Linked DNA regions of Lytechinus pictus. Each later gene encodes a partner of the first gene's protein in a complex. Links are inferred from orthologs where the notes say so. Each region holds a gene or a part of one and is shown on either strand. Other genes may lie near its edges. The genes, in order: eukaryotic translation initiation factor 4E-like and eukaryotic translation initiation factor 4E-binding protein 1-like.

What was found.
Region 2: the proteins of eukaryotic translation initiation factor 4E-like (region 1) and eukaryotic translation initiation factor 4E-binding protein 1-like are in contact, whole or in part, in a crystal structure (PDB 4UE8), measured with the Drosophila melanogaster proteins. The link is inferred for Lytechinus pictus from reciprocal best matches to the Drosophila melanogaster genes eIF4E1 and Thor. Residues at the interface, in NP_001261626.1 of Drosophila melanogaster: Lys80, His81, Pro82, Leu83, Met84, Tyr91, Ile107, Thr108, Val113, Glu114, Trp117, Ser118, Leu119, Tyr120, Asn121, His122, Ile123, Lys124, Pro125, Tyr135, Leu174, Asp175, Leu178, Cys179, Ile181, Gly182, Glu183, Phe185, Asp186, Ser188; in NP_001285588.1 of Drosophila melanogaster: Lys51, Leu52, Ile53, Tyr54, Arg56, Phe58, Met59, Lys60, Leu62, Arg63, Ser65, Pro66, Leu67, Ser68, Gln69, Thr70, Pro71, Pro72, Asn74, Val75, Pro76, Ser77, Cys78, Leu79, Leu80, Arg81, Thr83.

What each region holds. Positions count from the first base shown.
Region 1 is NC_087262.1:23,051,294-23,058,554, forward strand, and holds the start of eukaryotic translation initiation factor 4E-like, read right to left. Parts: upstream 3,104-7,261; 5' UTR 3,069-3,103; coding exon 3,030-3,068; intron 893-3,029; coding exon 681-892; intron 1-680. Other genes in the region: phenazine biosynthesis-like domain-containing protein, read left to right, coding at 7,002-7,115. UniProt on the Drosophila melanogaster protein: Recognizes and binds the 7-methylguanosine (m7G)-containing mRNA cap during an early step in the initiation of protein synthesis and facilitates ribosome binding by inducing the unwinding of the mRNAs secondary structures.
Region 2 is NC_087262.1:3,356,303-3,364,206, forward strand, and holds the start of eukaryotic translation initiation factor 4E-binding protein 1-like, read right to left. Parts: upstream 3,154-7,904; 5' UTR 3,015-3,153; coding exon 2,873-3,014; intron 1,734-2,872; coding exon 1,572-1,733; intron 510-1,571; coding exon 475-509; 3' UTR 1-474. Other genes in the region: leucine-rich repeat protein SHOC-2-like, read left to right, coding at 3,718-3,784, 6,040-6,183, 7,455-7,622. UniProt on the Drosophila melanogaster protein: Repressor of translation initiation that regulates eIF4E1 activity by preventing its assembly into the eIF4F complex. Hypophosphorylated form competes with eIF4G1 and strongly binds to eIF4E1, leading to repress translation.

The DNA.
Region 1 (7,261 bases):
AATAAACATTCTAGATCACCTGCCAAGTATAAAGGCAGCTTTCTCCATTATGTAGATGAATCCCACTACAGTGTCTGGTAATACAAAGTTTAGTTATTGACTGTATGGCTTATTTGTACGATTGATCATACACAATAATCGATGCAATCAATCGTAGTAATCAGACCCACCACCAATCGCTCAGCTTTGTGTCAAGGGCCACTGCAGAACACTTTGACTATGGCCGCCAAGATGGCCTCCTCTGATGCCCCTGTGAACATGTTTTAAGCCACATACATGTATACAAGGGAAATTCCAAATGCCGTTTCCATAGACGAGTGGTCTTTGTAATCATTAATGATTATGTACCACAAATAATTTATATTTTTAATTTGTTTTTATTATTTTTTATTGTCTCACCTGCAAAGCAGAGCGAGACTAAAGGCTCTGTTCCGACGTCGGTGTTGTCAACATTGAAAACTCAAACAAAATAAGTTTTTGAAATGTTATAACTTTAAATGTATGTAATCAAAGAAGAACAAAGGTACTTCCAGAGGATTAGAGCCATGTGTGGTGCTAGGTCAGCAGATGAATGATCTTTTCCTAGCCTGGCCATACTAGAAGCCCCCCCCCTCCCCAATTAAAATTGCCATTATTAAAAAAAGGAACCCAAAGTGAATTGGAGGTCCATGGATACTTACGACCAGAAATCTTCTACTGTATCAAATGCTGTGACGATTCTAAGGTTTTCTGTCCATGATTTGGCTTTGTCATTCTTGAAGAACCACATAGACCATCTGCTCTGTAAGGGATGTTTGATGAGACTTTCTGGATCTACGGCTTGTTGGTCGCTTTGGAGATCTTCTTCTTGTTGCTGCAGATGCTTTACACCCTTCCCATCTTTACTAATATCCTGTGAGAGTTACAAAGAGAGAGAGAGAGAGAGTGAGAATTATTGAAACCAACAACATCACATCAGCATTATCTATGTGATTAAAAATAAATTCCAGTTGTGGCAACGATTTCAAAATGAGTGCGTACAAAATTCAATAAGACGACTACCCAAGTGTCTTTTTCGTATACGTGCCACAGGATTCTGGGAGAAATTGTGCAATTACTGAGAAACAAGCAATAATAGAACAGAGAGATTATCTGAGTAGTCAATCTTCACTGTGATTAGCTTAGATTTCATGATTTCACAAAGTTCAGTGTAAGTAACTGTACTACTACATGTAAATTATCATCTATGATGATATAGTGATAATTCACCTTGGTTTAACAGACTTACTCATGAAATCAGTGATGAGACCTAGGCTATTTCCATGATATTTAATACTGTGATTGGTTTGCATCATTACTACATCATCACCATCACCATCACCAATACCACCATCATAATTATCATCATCCCTGCCACCTCATCATCATTATACTCATTTAAGATGCTTCCTAAAGCAAGTTTAAACCTCTGTTTATATCCAAGTTCTGTCTTCTCTTTAGATCATCATCATCATCATCATCATCAATAATCATCATCATCATCATCACCAAATATCCTTCTCCCCACTCTAATCCAGTCCTGAGCACTTTCAATCTTTAAACCTGCTTGAAGAAATGGAAAATGTTTAGATATCTGCTGTTATTGGTGTTTTTATCATCATCACACCACCATCATCATTTCATCATCACCATCATCACCATCATCATCATTATCATCACTATTATTTCATCATCATCATCACTGAAATCAATGCCATATTCTTCAAAATTCAAATCCTAATCATATTCAAATTGCAGATTTGCCACTAAATATTTGTTAAGTTTCTCCAATCTTATGAATTCATATTATATTACTTATCTCATGACATAAACTGCAATCTCTTAAATACTACTTTTTCTCCACATTACTCATCAGCGTGGTTTCCTAAATTTTAACAAAGTTTGAGTTACAAAAATTATATTTTGATATGCATATTAATTTTAAAATGTACTTGCATACGATGTATGATTTATATATGCCTCTCTTTCTTTTTTCATATTTTTCACTTTCCATTACATCCCTCTTTTACCTCCGGCTTTCACCATAGGCCTACTCTCCCTTCATCACATTCAACTTCTCTACCTGCCTATTCTGCCCCCCGCTAATAAATAGGCCTACCTTTTAAAATTCAAATTCAAGTTCAAATACTGCCTAGAGATCTACTTCCTATCTTTCATGAACCTGCTTACACAGAGATTGAGAATGGTAAGATATCTGACCGCGGTAGATAACTGCCATTATTGGCTTGTATCATCACCACCATCAATCCATCACCAATGATCACCATTATCAGGGACAGTATCACCACCATCATCATAATCATTTTTCTCATCGTCACCATCTTCATCTAGATAATAGATCTACTTTTCATCACCACTACACCAGCATCGTCTTCATCATGCTGCCAGCTTAGCCTTAATAATATTTTAACCTGCTTTTAAATTCATGTTACTTCATCACTTGCCAAAACTAAAAGTTAGAATAGAAATGACAGGATGAGGATTGGGATTCAGAACTGGAAGGAAACTGAACTCTCACTCAGTCTCAGTCTCACAACAGACTGCACAGACATGAGACAGAGCCACACTCAACTGACTGACAAACGTTAAATTTCCACTTTTTTGGTTTCAGGAAGCTCTAACGTTACTTCATTCTCTAAACCTGTCTCCTGTTTTTTTGGTAATGAAAGTTAGGTTTTGGGGGAGGACTGCAATAGCCACACAAAAACTTGGCTCAGCTCACATACCAACACAACACGAAATTCACTCCGACCTCTAGCAATTCAATGAACGTGGCTGCACAATGGCAATGCACATGTTCCACTCAACTCAGCATATCAGCGCAAGACAACCGGCGAAATTATCACCGCGAGCCTCCTTACTCTTTCGCTTTTATCTCATAAAATAATAAAAACATCGATCATTACGAGATGTGAACGTAGCATATGATATCAGGAAGCGATCATTAATCGTTAACTCAGTTAAATGGTACAGAAATGCAAGAAAATTACCTCGAGATTAACATGCTTTGCTATATTCACGGAAGCCATTTTCCTTATGTTCCAATTTTGGCCTTCTGTCGTAATGTCACGTGGTACAATCAGGTGGAAATAGAATTGATGAAGTGACCACCAAGTAGAACATAAACGTCACACAAATTTGTCTTGGGGGTCGTGCCTCGAAGGAGGAGGAGTGCAAAAGAAAAAACAAACTAAGGGGGGGGGGGGATAATCTGTCAGATCTGCTGTATTAAAAAAAAAAAACACACAATGAATCGACTGTAAGTAGAATATTGCGCATATGCACATCTCATGCAAATGACAAAGACATTATCGACTTTTCAGTGGTTGTTTATTTGAAGAGGTAGTCCTGTCACTTCTAAGCTTTATTCTTATATAAATCAACATAAATATATAATCTCTTAAGCCTTATTTGAATAATGCGAGCGCGAAGCGCGAGCTATGTTTTATTTCATGTATTTTGTCCTAAAATTTAAACATTCTGGGCAATGTTTGTGATCCTAAATGAGGTGTGTATCCAACTAAATAATTACTGTGAGCGCGAAGCGCGAGCAGAAATTTGTAATGTACGTTTTGATCCGATCAAAAAAGGATTTATTAACGGCTGCTCGTTAGCCAAGAAGACGTTACATATATTTCAACAATCAAATAATGCAAGTGCGAAGCGCGAGCTGAAAATTTTGACATGCCTACCTGAAGTATGGAATTCTACGAGCACTTTTTGTATTCGTGAAAAGGATAAGTATATAACTAAACAATTGATGCGAGCGCGAAGCGCGAGCGGAAAAAATCAAAATTTACACTTAAAAGTGGGACACTCGATCTATTCATGTTTTGTAAATCATGAAAAAGATGAGTAATTGGAAATGTTCCTACATTAATAATGCGAGCGGAAACATTTTGATATTGCATATGATCTGAAACTGGATAATGATTTAAATAGAGAGAGCAAGCTGCGTACCTGAATAAGATATATGCGCGCGCGTGTCTCAGATTTCGACCTAGAATCTGGGCATTCTAAATACCTTTTTTTTTAATCATGAAAATCAATAAAGCGAGCGCGAAGGGCGAGCTTGATATATCGATCTGAAAAGGGGTCAATTTAAGCTCTTGATTTCAAGCATATTGTAGGAAAATTGAGAGGCAGACATGGATCACACTTAAAAAAGAGCTGATATGTTTCATTACTATTACCCTGTAGTAGGTCCATGCTATTACTTTGGCTTTTGACATATAACCGGGACATTTTAAAGGACAAGTCAACCACAACAAAAAGTTGATTTGAATAAATAGAGAAAAATCCAACAAGCATTACACTGAAAATTTCATCAAAATCGGATGTAAAATAAGAAAGTTATGACATTTTAAAGTTTCGCTTAATTTCACAAAACAGTTATAATTATGCACATCCTGGCTGGTATGCTAATGAGGAGACTATGACATCATCCACTCACTATTTCTTTTGTATTTTGTTATATGAAATATTCTAATTTTCTCCTCATTGTCAAGTGATACAACGATTAATTCCTCCCTGAACAATACATGTGGAATTAGCATTGTTTAATACTATATGGTTCAGTCAAGTTTGTCCTTATTTTCAAATCTGTAAAAAATGAAATATTAATTCAAACAATAAAAAACAAAAGAAATAGCGAGTGATGGACATTATCGACTGAGTCACCTAGTTGTGCATATGACTGTTTTGTGAAAAATAAGCGAAACTTAAAAAAGTCGTATAACTGGGCGTTGTTGCGTGCGCCTGTAATCCAAGCTATGTGGGGAAGTTACAAATTGATGCAGAGGTTCGAGGTGATCGAGCCCCGGTCACGTCTTTCGGATGGTGACGTTAAAGGTCGGTCCCAGACGTAAATAATCATATCTGATTGATACACGTCTGACAAAACTCAAATACACACACTTTATTTTACATCCGATTTTGATGAAATTTTCAGTGTTATGCTTTATGATTTGACCTTTAAGAACATATGTCATCATATAGAATGATGACTATCTTCCTATTTCTCTTCCTAAGCGCGAGATGATTTGATTATTAAATTAATATCTTATTTATTAATCTATAAAAAGACTAATGCGAGCCCGAAATCTATAATGGCCTGAAAACTGGACATCTAAAGCACTTTTTGTAATTATTAATAAGATATGAGTTAATATATTTTCAACAATCAATGCAAACGCAAATCGCGAGCCGAAATTTTTGATAAACTGTCATGAAATGGTTTGTTATATAATTAATATTGAGATATACATAACCCACCAATCAAAATTCGAGCGTGCAGCGCTAACTGATACGTTTTGACAATCTGACCTGAATAGGGATATTTTGAGAACTTTATGGAATACAGGAAAATAATAGGTACCTGACAAATCGAGTGCGCAGAGCAGAGCAGAAAATGTTAATATTCAGGCCATACAATATATATTTTTTTACAGAGCACTATTTAAAAATCAATTTGTAAATCAAACAAAATAATGAAAGTTCGATTTCTGAGCTGAAATATGTTTTGTATATAAATCACCTAAAAGGCAATGCGAGCGTGAAGCGCGAGCGAAACTTTTATATAGTGTCACGAAAGATTTTTTTTATTATAATTTTCCAAGTCTTCCCCTCATCTTATTCTTTAACTCGTCTTCCTTCTTTTATGTTTCTCCTTTCTTTTCCCTTCTCTTTTTTTAAATATTATTTCCCAATTTTTTTCCTTTTTATGCTCCGCCAATAGGGGGGGGGGGGGGCATTGGCGGCGGAAGCCAAAAATTTTAGGGGGGGACTACAACAATTTTTTGACAACCAAAAAAAAAAAAGGTTATCAACAAAAAATTTAGGGGGGATCGTCCCCCCCCCCCTGGATCCGCTTATGACACCACACAACACAAATAGCGCATATAGAAAAGACGGATGCCGCACCTTAGAAAAGGGGATGCTTCCCCCTCGGCCTCTGGCTCACAAGTGACATATATTATCCTTAAAAGGAAACCAAATATAGCATTTGTTTGTTTCTTCTTTTCTTTGTTTGGTTTGGCTGGCAAAAATGCAGTCAAGATATTTTGCCACTGCTTTTTTATATATAGTGGTTTTTTTTCCTTTGAAACTTGAAGAATGGCTTCTTTTCATTTAGGTTATTTCATTTTCTTTATTTTTCCTTCACTTTTTCTGTGCTATTTTTTTTCTTATTTCCAATTCCTTTCCTTTCCTTTCCCTCCATTCCCTTCCCTTCCCTTCCTTTCTTTTCCTTTCATTTCCTTCTTGTCTTGTCTTTCTTTTTTCTTTTCTTTTCTTCCTTCTTTTTTCTGATCGCTATTTCTTCCTTTTCTCACTTTACCTCTTCTTTTGTATTTTCCCCCTGCTTTCTGCTTTTGTTTTGATTTTAAGTTTTTTTTTGGTCCTGTAATTTTTTCTGCTGCAATATCACAACAGAGAAAACAAAACCGAGTCGATTTGGGGCCTGAGTGAAAAGAAGTGAAAAGTACAGGGGGGGGGGGGTCAGCAATTCCCTCCAAGATGACTGCCGTACTCTCTTTTGTGGAGTTTTTATTATTATTATTATTATTTTTACCTATCAATTATTTTGTTTATTATTATTATACAGTAAAACGTTATCATGATACATTTAAATTATCAAAAGGAAATGATGTATTCTCACCCCAGATTCTCACTAATCATGAAAGAACACATAGGCTAGGGGCATGTTGCATAACATTTTCGCCATAAAAAAACCTCTGGCAAATGAACAAAAATTCTGGCAAAAACTTCCAGATTTGTTTTCTTTTATGCAACATGTCACTATGTAACAAACGACTTGGTGAAAGAATAAACTCTGTTGTAGTGCGTGGCCTCATAGTTCATTGCTGAGGGACGGTAGCAGAAGACCACTCGTGCTTGTATTGTAATCCTCTCTAAAAAATATTAATTTTTACTGATATTCGGGTGACATCTATACGCTCAAGATGGCAGACGGAAGCGAACAAAAGTCTTTACCAATTTACACTGTTGATGCCTTTGCAAGTGCTCCATTTACGGGGAATTCTGCTGCGGTGTGTCCTATTTCAAGCGCCGAAGAGGTACGGTATTTCGCGCGGAAACCCAGGGCCAGCTGAAGGCACCCTTGTGGTCTCAGGGTACGGTGGTCTCACTCTGAGTCGGAGAGCGAGCGCGAGGTGCATACCGGGTACTGCATACTGAGGCCTGCACGGTAATTGGACAAAAG
Region 2 (7,904 bases), about 20 Mb from region 1:
ATGTACTTTGTATTGATAGAGAGAAGAAAAAAACAAACACAAAGGAGAACTGATTAGTGTTATATTTGTGTATCATAATTAATATTCATATCATAATTAATATTCATGCTACACTTCTAAGCATCTTGCCCCTTGTTTGTTTGAATAACAACATCTTTATTCAGGAGATTTTAATAGAACCTTAGTTTTTTTTTCTCAATCTAGCTTATCTTTGGAGAATATGTTTGGAAAAAATACCCATATTTATGATAAGGTTTTGATTTTACATGAAAGGACATGATTGATACCATAATATTGAGAATAAATTCAGATTTGTCCCCATCAGGAACTTAAGTAAACAAAACAAACAGAACTGCGATGGTGAAATAAACAATTCAGGATCATTTATCTTCTTTACCCGCAGTATACATCTTTTCTTATTTTGTCTTAACTAGCCTTCTTAGACAGTTGTCATCTGTATGTTGGTCCTCCGTCTCAGATGTCCATTTGAAACTGATCATCAGCAGTGTCTAGTTAAGAGAATAAGACAGAGAGAGAGAGGGAGAGAGAGAGAGAAATGAAACATGTGTGAATCATAACAAGTGCATGCCTATATTTCATTCCGGCTAAACATGACAATTTTGTTACAATTCAAAAAATGAAATCTTCAAAAAAAAGTTGTCACATTGCATAATAAATTTTCATCAAGTGCTATTTATTCTTGAAACATCTGTGTTCAAACTACTAATATAGACTTAATCCAAAGGCCTGTGAATTCATGAAGTTCTGTAAGTTTTTGTTTGACTAGGTGTCTGGTTGACAATCACAAATCCAGGATTTTTTTTCTTACAACATAAAGAATATAAAAAAAATTATAAGGTAGCGACTTAAGACAGTGGAGACACCAACTTTTTGGTTAAAAAAGGGAAGTGGGCACATACCCCCCTCCCATGTATACAACTTCCCTGCTGTTAATAAATTATTAATTAAACCCAAGACTACCCAAGACCATTAGAAGCCATGGTAGTTGATAGTGCTGGTCGATATTTGATCTAAATGTGAATAGATTATTGCCAGAAAAATTTCGCTGATAACACAATATATCGCCGAGTCTGAAAATTCATTATATGTCCATTAAGAGTAGTGATTCCGCAAGAGCAGGGAAGGGGGAAATGAAAGAAGACTTCCATTGGTGCTTGTCCTTGAAAAGAGGGCATTTGGGCACTGGTCAACTAAACTGAGTTGGTTTAAAGCAATACAGAGCAGCATGCGGTCAATCACTAGTGATTATCTTTTCATAATAATAGTTTGGGCATATCGTGTTACTGTGATATATCAACATATTCATAAAATCATTATCAAATAATATTTTTCAATATCACATAATTTCGATGATATAGAATTTAGACATATTACCCAACACTAGCGGTTGATGCCGTTTTCATTGGCCTTAGCGGCCCTCTCATTAGCCTCAGAGATTTATTGTGCCTTTTTAGAATTTTTTTTTTCCATTTGAGCTGTAATGCAGAAACATACCTTCAGATGTTATGAAAGTGGCCTTGCCTGAAAATATTGAAATGTATAGTGTGTACCTGTTTTACTCTTTGGAGCCTTGCTTTCACCATTAGGTTTGTCACTGGTCACTTCTGGACAGGTCACTCCTGGAATTGAAGGCAAGTTCTTAGGAGGAGTCTGGCTCAGTGGAGAATTCCTCATATTCAACAAAAAGTGACGATCGTAGATGATGCGTGTTCCTAGGGAAAAAAAGAAGGGTGGAGATGCACAAGACTAAAGTAACCAGACTCTCAAGTTTCAGGTGGGCATTTTCATATAACAAGCAAATTTACGAACGACTGGTAACCCTTTCTTAGGAACTCAACACCAATGAAAATTTGATGTCTACCATTTACCACAAGAAAGGATCACCAGTTGTTTGTAACTTCGAAACAGCTTTATGAAAAACTCACCAGGACTGTAATTGTAATACATGTTGTATGGCAAACCATATTGATTTCTCGGTCAATATGAAATATCTCAGCTTCAAGATTTGTATTACAAGAGGATAAAGGAAGCTTGTGTTGTGTTGCTCAGCAGAGTGAAAAAAAAAGGGAATTCCCCATCTCAGCATCCTCATTTTCCCCTCTGTATGCAAGCATTAGTACACAAGCAGGCTTAATCCAATGTCATGAATCTATCACTGCACAGATGTGATACATGCGTGATGCCTCGTTCTAACTTCAGTTAGTATAGAGGGTTCTAGGTAGGTTGTTCTCATAATCACTTATGACACTGGATTCTACATGTTCTAAAGTTACTCCCACAAGCAATTGCGATTCCTGCTCATGCGCATTGGTATAGTACCTGTTTGGACATTTACTCATCAAACTAAAGCGATTAGCCCGAACATGATTAATGCTGATCTATTATTTATCATTTTTTTTCAGGATAAACCTAGCCTTGAGGACTCCTTGATATCTTACTAATATTTTTGACATTGTATTTTCATCACAGAGCTGAGCCTTGAATTTGAAACGGTGGGTATATTTTATTTTTAATTAGATTTAAATAGAAATAGAATCGATGTGAGTGCAATAACTTATTACAATAATTACATAGCCATAGCCTATAGGCTATAGGGCCTAATCTGACTCCATAGTCCATTTTTGATTTTTGATTTTTTTTTTTTTTTAGCTATTATTAATTCAATAATTGCAGACATTGTGTAAAATTCCTGGATCAAATCGGCCCTAAATAAGTAAATGCGGACGTTAGCTAACTATGGCTTAGTCCCGGGCTAAAGGCTTAGACTTAGTACTGGCCTGGGATCGGGAGGGTCGAAGACGAAGCCAGGCCTGTAGGCTGTACTCCTGTGTGTGTACGGTACGGTACGCACCTCCCGGGGTCGTTGAAAACAATGTGCCTCCTGGCGTTGTGCTGTAATCTTGTGGAAGCTGCGATGGGTCGTCGACGGCTACTCTTTTCGCTGGAATATCCCGACCAGCACTGAGTTGACGACTTGCTGCAGGGGCTGACATTTTGCTTGAATTTTAGAAGATTGCGGGGCAGCTAAAGTTGCAAAGGAATGGACGGTTCTTCGGGTTCTTTTGAAGGTAAATATTGTGATGACGGATTTAGGGGAAATCCGCATCGGACGATACAGCAAGGAGGTACGGTAACAGTTTTGTCAATTTTGTGAGTGATACAGAATTGCGATTTTCTCATATGTACATATTTGAAATATTTTGAAAAAAATAAAAATAAAATTGAATGCAAATAATTTTTAAAAGTAAAAAAACTTAATAAAATTGATATTTTTAAATTAATATTTGGAATATGTTATATTCTTACTAGATTGGCAAGTGCATTTGGGTAGGTTGAAGTTATCAACTAAAAATTGTCTTGTGGAAATTAACAATGTATTTTTTCAACAATTTAGTTTATGTGTTTAAAAAATCAGGGTTTTGAGAGGAAATGTAATACAAATTCTGTATTTATGTAATTAGAATAAATATCTGCTAATTTCAAAGGATTTTTATGGAGATAAATGGGAATTTACGCTTTGGATTTGTGCCAATGGGTCGACGACATTTGTCGATAGCATGTCAAGATGATGTAAACAAAACCACGTGATATCAGCAAGCACGCACACAACGCTATGACCTTTCAAGGCGATAGTTGAAAGTTCAGACTATTTTAGATGAATTATCAGGACGGACTGAAACTGCAATCTTCACCAAAATGGCAGCAGAAGCAGTGACAAGAGTCGTATTAAGATGTGAAAAGGCGCAAGAAGATAGAAACTTAGGTGATATTTTCGTTCTATTGAAATTGAATATTCGGGTTAACGTTGTAGGGGAAAATACATGAAAATGAAACGGCTAGTCTCCTTCAATTCAGCGAACTGTTGACTATATATCGGTTCGCCTCGGCCTCCCGAAGGCGAGGCCGTGTTCATCAGGCCAGGGCGGCGGGGGCGCTGGCCTAGCCTGGACTCTGTCCGGACGTTCCCTCTCTTAAGTGCCGAGATGGGCGTGGCAGCTAGCTAGACACGTCCATTTATTGTTTTATTGATGCCCCTATTTTTCCTCATTTACCAGTACAGTTAGGCCTACCTGAAGATTCAAGAACCAAAACATCAGATGGATTAATAATCAAAATAAAAGAGGATCTTGATTTATATTCATGATTAAGTTCTTATCTTACTTATAATTGTAAAGACATGAGGATTGAGGGCCTATAAGTTTATTAATATGTCTTGCACAGTAGTTTGTAATTTTTAATTGCAGTATTTTGTACATGTAAATGTAGTGAAATAAATAAATAAGAGCTATAATATATGCACTCTCTCAATCTTAAAAAAACAAAACAAGGAACATTGTAGGTGTTGGCATATAATGGTAGGCAGCGGCGTAACAGGGGTCGGTGGCCAGGGGGGGCAAGAGCCAAAAATTTCCCGGTCATACATGGAACAGGCAATGGCTTCATGAGGCAAAAATTTTGAGGGGGCGATATGGCGTATCGGGCAAATATATATATAAAAGCGAAGCAAGCGAGCAAAAAATGTTGACATTTTTATTGCAAAAATCCAATTTTGTGATAGATTTTGACATAATGTTAAAAAGATGATATTATATTTCACCCTCCTCTTCTTTTTTATCTCTTTTTTGTACGCCACGGTGAACAGGATTTTTGTTATGATTGTGAGCATCAGGGCGAAGCTCTATATGAGTATATGCTCGAGGGGGGCCGAGTATGGCGCTTCTGGCAAGAAGTAGCTTAATATAGGTCCCGAGCGAGCGAAGCGAGCGAGATAAAGAAATCACCTTTTCATGAGAATCTAACATGAAGATAGATTTTAACGTGATATTCAAAAAAATATAATACACTTTCCTTTCTTTCCTCATTTTTTTTTGTTTGGTTGTAGAACTTTTTGGGGCCATGGTCCAAACTCATCCATATAACAGTGCTTTATGGGTGGGGTCCAGGGCAGAGCCCCGTAACCTCTTGATATCAAAGCTATTTTAAACCTTACAGATGGCCACTTATTTTAATCAAATTGCGTGTATATTTATATAGCTTTAACACAACACATAAATTCAATACAGTTGTGTATCGTAATCATCCAAATATTGTGAGGGGCACACCATAGCAAATGTGGGAAAATTTGTAAAAAGTCGCCAGCGAGCGAAGCGAGCCAGAAAAAAAATGGCCTGTTAAAATGAAATTCTAATTATGTGATAGATTTTTACATCATTATAGCAAATATCATGTCATATATTTTTTTTCATTCATCCCATTTCGCTGCCTCCTTTATTTTTTTATATTTCCCCTTGGCTGTGGAACTCCCCCCCCCCCCCGGTACGCCAGTGCTTCAACATAAAGCTTAATGCAGGAAGGGTCCATATAGGGGCCCGTTATAGAACCCATTAAAGGTTACAGATGAAGAGCCCCCACTGCACGGGGTCTTGACTCTTGGACAGAGCCTTTGGAGATTTAGCAAGTTTATGATAAACTTTCATACGACATTATGCTATACCATCAATTTTCTTCCCGCTCGTTATCTCAATCCTCGGCAGCCCGGTAGTGTACGTTATCTTGTCCCTATTCTTTATTTTCCAATTAAGATTTTGGCTAATTCCATTCTGCCTTTATTTCCCGCTTTTGTTTGCCTTTTTGTCATCTTTAATTTATTTCCCTGTCTTACTAATCATGCTAATGTATTTTTATATCGGGGCGAATTGTTCTTTCTCACTTTTTCTTTTTTCCTTCCTTTTCCCGTTATCTTTCCGTTTTCCCTTTTTTATGTTTTTTCTTAGTTTTCTTTTCCCTTTTCCTTTCCCTTTCCCCTTTTTTCTTTCCTTTCCCTTTCCCTTCCCTCCCCTTTTTTTTTTTTTTCTCCCCGTTTTTTTGTATTTTCCCGGTGAGCTCCGCCAGGGGGGGCAGCTTGCCCCCCCGCCTGTTACGCCACTGATGGTAGGGCCTATTTATTTGCATCATTGACCATTCAAGTATCGTAATGTTTTTTTTCTTTCTTTCTTTTCTTTTCTTTTTACTCAACAGATTTATCAAGCTGTCTACTGGAGTCGGTTCCGCAAGCAGTTTACCATCTAATGAGGAAAACACAATTATCATCCATTGACCTCTCACATAATGCACTCACTATAATGTCAAAGAAACTCCCAATGAAATTTCCAAGTGTTACAGGTAAGAATTTTTTTAAAGCATATTTCCCTGATATATTTTCATTATTATTATTTTTTTTTCTTGTCGTTATCATCATTATCATGAATAATCACTCTTCTTCATTATTACTGATAATTTTATCATTATTATCATTATTGTTATAAAAATTGTAATTCATATTATTTTATTATTATCATTATAAATATTATCATCATCATTATTATGTATTATCATTATTATTATAATTGTTATTATTATCATTCATCATCATTATTATAATTCATTAATGTCATTGTTATTTAAAATCATTATATTGAACAGGGGGCCATGCACCAAAGATTTAAGGATAAGTGATATATGACAATGCAATTTGTAACAACACTAGCAGCTTTTATTTTGATATTTCACTTAATTTTCCCTTATTTAGTGCTGTATTGGTGTTTTGTTAATTGTATAGTAGATATTTATAGGTTTTTTGTGGTAAATTTGCAAAGAAGCGTAGGACTTCCACTAATAATTCATAAATATACAATTTTAGTTTGCATTGATGTGAAAGGTATTGATTGAAGAGATTGAAAGCATGCCAGGCAGTTCAGAAGTACAGAAATCCAAGTGCTCATAAACATTGTAACAGAGCGATTCTGTGATGCAAATGCTTGCCTAGCCTGAAATATATCCTTAATTAAAAAAAGGAAAATTAGTTTGGAACTGCCCATTCACTTTGATAATGACAATGTTATGATCATCAAATGGTCGGTGCATAGGTGATGGTGATGAGGTCTTGTAAATAGTTTATTGGTCCATGGTTTAAACCATCCTGGGTCATGCTGAAAAAAAGAACAATGAATCAGCCATATGTAAAAAAAACAAAAACATAACATGTCACATCATGTCCAGAGAGAACAATTCCATACACATGTCAGGCGTGGATCCAGAGTTGAAATTTTAAGTGGTGCTACAGGATCCATAATTTTTAAAAAAGGGTGGCACATTTTACCCAGTTGAAATTTGACAATAAAAAAAAAAGGTTTTCCCCTAGATTTAACTTAAGGTCAATAATTTGTCCGCCCAAAAATTAACAAGCAAAAAAAAAAGGTTTTCCCCTATATAAGGTCAATTCATCTCTCTTTTTTTTCTTAAAAAAAAAATCCTATGGGGTGCTAGCGCCCCTTCAGCCCCCCCCCCCCCTGGATCCGCGCCTGTATGTAAGGCATTGGTATGCATTGAATTGTGAATTTTTTAGGTGTTAGTGCATGCACTATCCTATTTCATTGTATTTTCTCTTCATGAAGCTTTTAATATTTCAGATAACAAAGTTGAGAAGATTCCAGATGAGATCAAGGAGATGACTATGTTAGAAACATTGAATGCATCTCATAACCAGCTCTCCACCTTGCCAGAGACTTTCTATGAATTGTCCTCTCTCAGAATATTAGATTTGAGTCACAATGATATTACAGGTTAGTATGTATATACATGTATTAAAAAAAAATAGATAAAGGGGAATCCGGGGGGGGGGGGAATCCTACCCAAATAAAATCTTGTTTTTAGAGGCAGAAGAAAACTCAGACAAGTTGTAGCTAAAAGTTTGAACAATATCGTACAAACTATAAGAAAGTTATGAATTTTTAAAAGTGAAAATTATTAATCACTGTACACATGGAGACTTCAAATTGGCCGCATATGTGATGTCATAGTGATGTAAGGCAAGAACTACTCTTCTATGTACTCTTATACCTAAA